Callithrix jacchus: one gene and its partner. The protein of the gene in region 1 purifies or fractionates together with the protein of each later gene. This does not show direct contact. Links are inferred from orthologs where the notes say so. Each region holds a gene or a part of one and is shown on either strand. Other genes may lie near its edges. The genes, in order: NKAPD1 and CSNK2A2.

What was found.
Region 2: the proteins of NKAPD1 (region 1) and CSNK2A2 purify together in Homo sapiens (affinity purification with mass spectrometry; 5 studies listed by BioGRID and IntAct, counting the BioPlex papers as one, with this or other methods). This does not show direct contact. The link is inferred for Callithrix jacchus from reciprocal best matches to the Homo sapiens genes NKAPD1 and CSNK2A2.

The regions. Positions count from the first base shown.
Region 1 is NC_133511.1:11,776,305-11,780,214, forward strand, and holds the start of NKAPD1 (uncharacterized protein NKAPD1), read left to right. Parts: upstream 1-1,614; 5' UTR 1,615-1,709; exon of another isoform or gene 1,710-2,263; intron 2,264-2,906; 5' UTR 2,907-2,914; coding exon 2,915-2,983; intron 2,984-3,910. Other genes in the region: PIH1D2 (PIH1 domain-containing protein 2), read right to left, coding at 336-512.
Region 2 is NC_133521.1:16,079,294-16,083,203, reverse strand, and holds the start of CSNK2A2 (casein kinase II subunit alpha'), read left to right. Parts: upstream 1-1,018; 5' UTR 1,019-1,388; coding exon 1,389-1,492; intron 1,493-1,935; exon of another isoform or gene 1,936-2,109; intron 2,110-2,284; coding exon 2,285-2,396; intron 2,397-3,910.

The DNA of each region.
Region 1 (3,910 bases):
GCGGGTGGATCACCGAGTTCAAGATCAGCCTGGTCAACATCGTGAAACCCCGTCTCTACTAAAAATACAAAACTTAGCCAGGTGTGGTGGGACATGCCTGTAGTCCCAGCTACTCAAGAGGTTGAGGCAGGAAAATCGCTTGAACCTAGCTAGGAGGCAGAGGTTGTCGTGGGCCAAGACTGTACCACTGCACTCCAGCCTGGGTGACAGAGCAAGACTCGGTCTCAAAAAAAAAAAAAAAAAAAAAAAAGTAGCAATAGCTAAGTGTAAGGTATTCCCTGGTTATTCTGGGATAATTTCAAGACCTCCCCATCCCTGGCACTAACTCAACTTACCAGAATCCTGGTCTGTAGGCAAAGCTGTGGTTCTGGGGCAGAACAGAGCTGTTTCCCTTCTTTCAGCTGCTGTTGAATAAACTTCTCATAGCCCTCAGGGTCACTTTCAGCTAGATCATCTAGGAGATTCCAAAACTGAGTAACTTGGGTGAGCAGACCCTTTGAGGATGTTTCCATAACTGATGAATGGTGAATAAGTTTCTTAAGCCTGTGGAAAGACATGACTTCAGGAAGAAAAATGTCTGTGGAACTATTGATTTATTTCTGCTTTGGGGAGGCGGAATGGGCAGGAATTGTTCTCGTGAAGTTAGCACTTAGCACCTGTGTCTAAAAGGTGGATCAGCACCACTTTATGTCTTCCTTATTCTTTAATTATCTAGTACCTCCTCCTATCTTCTCATGTTGTCCTCTCAGATAAGGCCTTACATTGGACCCTGACAAGTCAGAGTAATCATTTTAAGTCTGGGTTTCCTGATCTTCTTGTTTCAACACCTGACTCGTATCTCCCCAGTTCTGAAATTGCCACTTCTAATATTGCCAGTTCTGAAATCTTATGTTGGGTTAGGGCCACGTGAGACTTCTTTAATCGTCAGGATAGTTTGGTAATTCAAAGCATGGACTCGCGAGCCAGAATGCCTAGATTCCGGTCTTAGTTCTGTCTCTAGCTGTTGACCTTGAGCAATTATTAATATGTGTGTGTGTGTGTGTGTGTGTGTGTGCCTCTTTGTTCTGCTCAAAATGAAGATGATAATACCTATATCATAGGGTTATTGCGAGGATTAAGTCAGCTAATAGAGAGGCTGGGACCCTTTAGGTCTTCAGATAACTCTCCTTGGCCTCTTCTTCCATTAGAGAGGTCTCCCACAGCATCTTCACAATGAAGGAAAGAGGAGGTTTAGATTCTTCAACTACTATGTTAGGGTTACGCTAAATGGCAAACTTAACTAACGGGTAATCATTCCATAGGTCTGCAAACCCACCTCTTCTCTCAGTTCTAACGGGTAATCTGTAAGTTGGCAAACCCACCTCTTACTTCCTTGACAAACCGCAACGTCTGTTACCAGGGTAACCAGCCTTGGTACAACATCTAATTGGGTCCGGGGAGTTTCAGGCAGAAAAGTCTCTTTATATCTAGTTCCGGAATGTCTCCCTTCTGATGCCAAGCTAGCACCTTACAGGCAAGCACCCGCCACGCTTCTGCACCAATTAGTCTCTGGAGTGTCCCGAGAACCCTCCCTTGTGGGAGTCTCTGGGCCGCCTGTTGGTGGGAAGATTTCTCAGGAGAACGACTTCCGGCCTGAAAAGGAAGTCTCCTTTTTCTCCCAAATCGCTTCTTCCCCCCCTACCCCCCGCCACGCGAGGCTGCGGCGCACGGTATGGGTGTGTTTGTGTGTATTTGTGTGGGGAGGGCATTTGGAGGGAAGGTTACCGGGAGCTCCGAGGCCGCTGAGGGGCAGGGATCCCGATGACAAAGATGGGGATATTTCCTCTGTCTTCCATTTGGAAACCTCAACACCCGCTTCAGGCCCCCTAGATACTTCCTGGGGCCCAACCTAAGGCCGTAGTCATCCAAAGCGTTCCCATCTTTTCTGGGGAGTGAAACTTACCCCCGGGGTTCGTCCCAGAGGAGCGTGAGCGGGGAATGCCCGGGTCATCCCGGCCGTCCGAATTTCGCGCCGGCTCAGCATCCGGCTTCGGTCCGGGAGAGAGAATCTGCCTGTGGATCTGGGCTGAGGGCGGCAGAGGCCTGGGCCACAGGTGAGGGCAGAATAACCAGTGGGAAGGCTGCGTTTTCACGAAGGACTCGGGTGAAGCTGCAGAGCTGCCTTTGAGCCCTGACTCCTTGGCTTCCTGGGTCGGAGGAGATCTTGTAATGGAGTGGTTCTTCGTCTCACTAACAAGATGCCTGATTCCCTCAGGATCAAGGGGTGAGTGAGCGTTGGGATGGTTGCACAAAGCCCTGCTAGCCACACACGAAAATATTCTTGTCATCTAGTTTTTGGAAGCTTCCATACCAAGCAGGAAATAAAATGCCCCCAAATGGAGAAATTTGGGACATCTTTGCCTTTGATGTTTTGAGTCATTAGTTTCTGTTACTGTTGACATCTGCGGTTCCTGACACTCTCAAATTTACGTATTTGCTTCATTGCAAACTAATGTTGGGATTGGAGGTTTGATTTTTAATCTAGACATTGACCTACATCATTTGCCTGGGACTGTGTGGCTTGGGATATTACAGCTTTAAGGGACCTTCATCTACAAAATTGGGATGGAGATATTTGCCCCATACAAAATAGAGTTATGAGGATTAAATAAAATAGTGCTCATGAAAGCATTTATTTTTATGCAGTCTTGTGCATTTTCAAAGAACTTTAATGTACATTATCTTTTTTCATCTCACATTAGTGTGTTCAGGCATTTCCCTCTTTTAATAGTAAAGGGAAAACTTAGGATCTCTGACTTCTAGTTTTCAGTGATCTTTCCTTTACCTCATGCTTCTTTATAAAGTTTAAGAAAAGATGACATAATTAAAGAAATTATTACTAAACATTATTTGTTGATTCATTTCAGATTGAAGAATGTCCCGGATTCCACTGGGGAAAGTCCTCCTGAGGAATGTCATCCGGCACACAGATGCTCACAATAAGGTAGGAGGTACAACCTAGTTATTCCTCAACACTTACTGAAGGCAAACAGTGTGCCAAACATTATTTTGGCACAACTGGGAGATACAAAGAATATTCTTGTCATCTAGTTTTTGGAGACTTCTGTAAAAGTGGGAAATAAAATTATGAATAAAATAGATAATTATAATACAGTTTGATCAGTGATGTATAACAGAGATATTTGCAAAGTGCTTTGGAGCACTAAGGAGGAAATAATAAAATCTACCTTGGGGAATTAGAAAAGATTTTACAGAATGAGTGGTATTTGAGCTGCTTATATTTGAACTGGTTCTTGAATAGGTATAAGTTTAACAGGTATGAAAGATCATTCTGGATAGAGAGCATCATACATTAATATGGCAATGAGAAAGAGCATTAATCAGTTGAGGCATGGTAAGAAATTTATATATCCAGAAAGTAGGGAATGTAGGGGTTAGTAGCAGAAGATAAGGCCTCAGTGGTAATTAGAGTTGGATTGTGATGTTTGGAGCTAAGACTTTTTCCTCTAGGCAATAAAGAAGCCATCAAATGTTTTTGAACAGGGTGTGACATGATCATAGTTATATTTTAGAAAGGTGATTTGTCAGCTGGGTAAGGAATGAATCAGATGGAGAGAAACAATAGAAAGATTAATTAGGAGGTAATTACAGTAATACAGGTGAGAGATGATGAGTGTTTGCATGAAATTAGTGACAGCAGGGATGAAGAAGAGGAATTTAGGATAAATCCAAAGAACTTGATGGCTAATTAAACGATAATGATAAGAATGGAATCTAATTCAGCTGACATCGAATAACACAGGGTTTAGGGACATCCACCCCCCTCCACCCCCTCCCCCGGCATAGTCAAAAATCCATGTATAATTTTTTACTCCCTCAAAACTTAAGTGCTAATAGCCTACTACTTACT
Region 2 (3,910 bases), on another chromosome or scaffold:
AGAAAACAGAATGTGAAAAGGGATTGGAATCAGAGCAACCTGGACTGGGTGAAGAGGTTGTGTCGCGAAAGGATGCTGGATGAGAAAGAAAGTCAGAAGAAGGGCCTAGAATGTCAAAAGAGAGGAGTGTCCAGGGCCGCAGGCAACACTGGAAGCCAGGCCAGCTCAGCTGGCCACCCATCCCGGTGCATACCCAATCTCAGTCTGTCCCTTCAGGTCAAATTTACATTCTCCTGCTCTCCCTCCTCCTCAACAAAAACAGGAGATTTACAGACTCTCAACGTCTCTCCCCACAAGCGACTTACTAATCACAAAGGGAAAAATTGTAACTTTGCGGTGGCACAACCTGGCCGACTCCAGCTTAACCAAGTGACCAAAGTGGGTATTCAGAGGGTTCTCAGGGAAGGCTCTGGAGGGGCTTTTGGGGGAAATGTATAAGGGTTTTGTGAGGAGGACTCTGAATGAAGAGGGTGGGAAGTCTTGGGGACTGAGGAGTCTGCGGGAACAGGGAAGGGTCCAGAGGGGGAAGGAGGGGTACGTCTCGGGGGAAGGGAGAAGTATTGAGGTGGGAGAGGTTCTGAGGTTTGAGCGAGGCCCTGGAGAGAGACTTGACAGTTTGGGCGAGAAGAGGGTATGGGAGGTGTGTGGGGGTAAAAGCTGGGCAACTGCAGAGCTGGGGGCAGGGTCTCCACCGACAATCTTGAAAGGGTCGGGACTCGAAGGGGAGGGTTCTAAGGCAACGGCCAGTGGAAGTGGGGGCTCCTGTGGCGTGAGGTAAGGCCAGCCGGAGGGTGAGGCGATTTGGACAGCCCGGCCTGGGGCAGCGGGAGGGCCAAGGTGGGGGAGGGCGCGGGGGAGGGGGCGGGGCGTGCTGGGGTGGGGCCGGGGCGGGGTCGGCACCGCCCGGCGGGTCCCCCCGCGCTGCAGGGGGCGCTGTGAGCCTGGGCGGCCCCAGGCCGGGCGGCGGCCGCTCCCCGTGAGCGCGGCCCCTTTTCCGGGTTTCCTCCGCCTCCTCCTCCTCTCCTCCTTCTTCTCCGCTGCTGCCGCCGCTGCCCCTTTCCCGGCCGGTGGCTGCCGCTGCCGGTGCCGCCGCCGCCGCCTCCTGGGGGCCGCGAGCCGAGCGGAGACCGCCGCGGAGCGCGAGCGCCGCCCGCCCCGCCGCTCCGCCGGCCGCTCCAGGGCCGGGCCGGCTCGGCCGGCGCCCCCCGCGCCCCCAGCCCGCCCGCCCCCGCGGGCCCGGCCTGGCGCGGCCGCCCGCTACCGCGCTCCTCCTCCTCCTTCTCCAGAGCCCGGCGGCCAGCCGCCTCCTCCGCCCGCCGCCCCGCGCCCTCCGCCGCGCCGCCGCCGCCACCCTCTGCGCCCCGCGCCGCCCCCCGGTCCCGCCCGCCATGCCCGGCCCGGCCGCGGGCAGCAGGGCCCGGGTCTACGCCGAGGTGAACAGCCTGAGGAGCCGCGAGTACTGGGACTACGAGTCTCACGTCCCGAGCTGGGGGTAAAGCCGCCGCCGTCCCCCGCCGGGCCCGCTGACCCCTGTCTCCGCCCGGCCGCCCCCCGCGACCCGCACTCGGCCGGGGTGGTGTCTCCCGCCGATCCCTCCGCGGCCCCGCTGGAGACAGAGGTCCCGCTCTCGCACATGTCCTCGTCTTCCTCTTCCCTCCCCTTTACCCCGGTTTCGTCCCTTTCTCCCCGCTTTGCGCACCCCTTTCCCCCAAGGAATGATTTTTTTACTCGGAGAGAAGTGTGGGGTGCACGGATCGGCGCTGGGTGGAAGTGAGGGAGCAGCCCTTCTCACACTTTTGGGTTTCCACTAGGGTGGGAAGTCAACAGCTGTCCTCTGGAGCTATTAAAATTCTCTGCCTTTTCGGTTTTCTGAGATGAGGTAGTGGGAGGAAATTTCTTAAAGACGTCCACATTTTTAAAACAGGGATTGTCTACCTTCAGGGTGTGAAACGGGAAGCAGGTGCTGTGAAGCCGCGGGGCAGAGGGGGCACCCTCTAGGCCTTCAGGACGGGTGCTTTGTTCGCCCCTCTGGATTGGCTCAGAGCGTTGCCTTTCTACCCCATCTTCCCAAGTTAGGAGAGACCAGTTAGGTTAGGAGCTCTGCAGAGTGAAGGGAGCCAAGATTACGTCGTGGCTTTCATTTAGGGAATGAGTTGTGACGTGATGTGTAGACACTTCCAAGTGTTTGCCTGGCGGAAGCGGCTGGATGACGTGTATAGTGGGCATAGGCTTGGCTAACCCCCAGTCCTGGCATTTATGTGTGTCTGTCTCTTACCTTTTACAGTAATCAAGATGATTACCAACTGGTTCGAAAACTTGGTCGGGGAAAATATAGTGAAGTATTTGAGGCCATTAACATCACCAACAATGAGAGAGTGGTTGTAAAAATCCTCAAGGTGAGTGTCCTATGAGTGATAAATAACATTTGTTCCCCCACAGGGCAAAAGGATGTAAGCTACCCCAGTCACATTCTAGAATGGGCAGTGCAAGCTTGAATTTAATTACTTATTTAGAGTCAGAGTCTCACTCTGTAACCCAGGCTGGAGTGCAGATTATGGTTCACTGCAGCCTTCAACTCCTGGGCTCAAGTGATCCTCCCTTCTCAGCCTCCCAAGTAGCTGGGACTACAGGTGCATGCCATCATGCCCAGCTATTTAAAAAAATTTTTTTGTACAGACAGGGTCTGGTCATGTTGCCCAGGCTGGTCTTAAACTCCTGAGCTCAAGCAGTCCTCCAGAACGACTCCTTGCAGGCTTCCCAAAGTTGCTGGGGTTACAAGCATGAGCCACTGTGCCCAGCCCACACTCAAATTTTACTTCTCTGATGACCCTTCATTACTTCTTTTTCCACCCCATTTTCCTGTGAACTTTCAAGGAAATGTGCAGACTGGTCACAAATCTAAGCCCAACTCTTAAGTTCAGGAAGGTGTTCTAAAATGTAAATTATAGGTGCCTAAAGCAGAAATTCCAAAAGGGCTCCATTTGTTAGAAAATAAATAGGTATTCAAAAGACCAAAAAGCCATTCTCAATTTCAGGTCTCCTTGAGCACTGTTTGTTACTCTTGGTGCGTGATCTACCTTATTCCATAAAGAAAGCTGGACAAAACTGGAGTGACTTCAGAGATGTATTGCGAGCCCAAGTTGAAGGAAATTCCTTAGTGGATAATCACTTGTTTTTTCTTCTTTGGCAGTAAAGTTTCAGGTGGCGTGGATATAGTGCACTAGTAGGGCTGAGAAGCCTTGTTAGAAAGCCAGAGAGCCTTTGTTGCTTATCAGCTAGTAAAAATATAGAATTCACTTATGATTTCTAAAGTAATCACTGGAACAAAACTCTTAACATATGGTTTAGCGATCTCAGTTTGATAATGCTGTGCTTTTGTTATCTCTTTGATGAAGATGATTTTAATGAGCATGAAGGGTCGGCTAAATTTTCCTTCAGGTAAAAGATTAATTGTGTAGCTTTAATAATGTTTTATAGGGTGTGGTAAAAAGTAATTGGTAGAATCTTTGATGGGTCCTCATTATTGCCAGATTATTTCATGTGGGCACGTGTCATTCAGTGAGAGATTGAGAAGATGGAAGAGTAATGTAAGCACTTTTGTATACATGTGATTTCCAGTGTGGCCCTTTTGCAGAGGTTCTGTGGACTAAGAATGTGGTATTGAAAAGCTGTTTCTGTGTGTTAGGGCAGCTGTATAGGTAATCCCTGTTTAATGTGAGGGGTCAATGTTAGCTTTCTGGTAATCACCTTTCAGAAAAATGATCAACTCCATCACTCAATACATCCTAGCCTAGTGATGAAGGAGCAGAATTGCAAGAAAGAGAAATAGACAGTTACTTGTGTTCTCAGACACACTAGGGATCAGAATCTGTGAGGAATTGATGTTGAAGATACTGAGTGTGACTCCTCT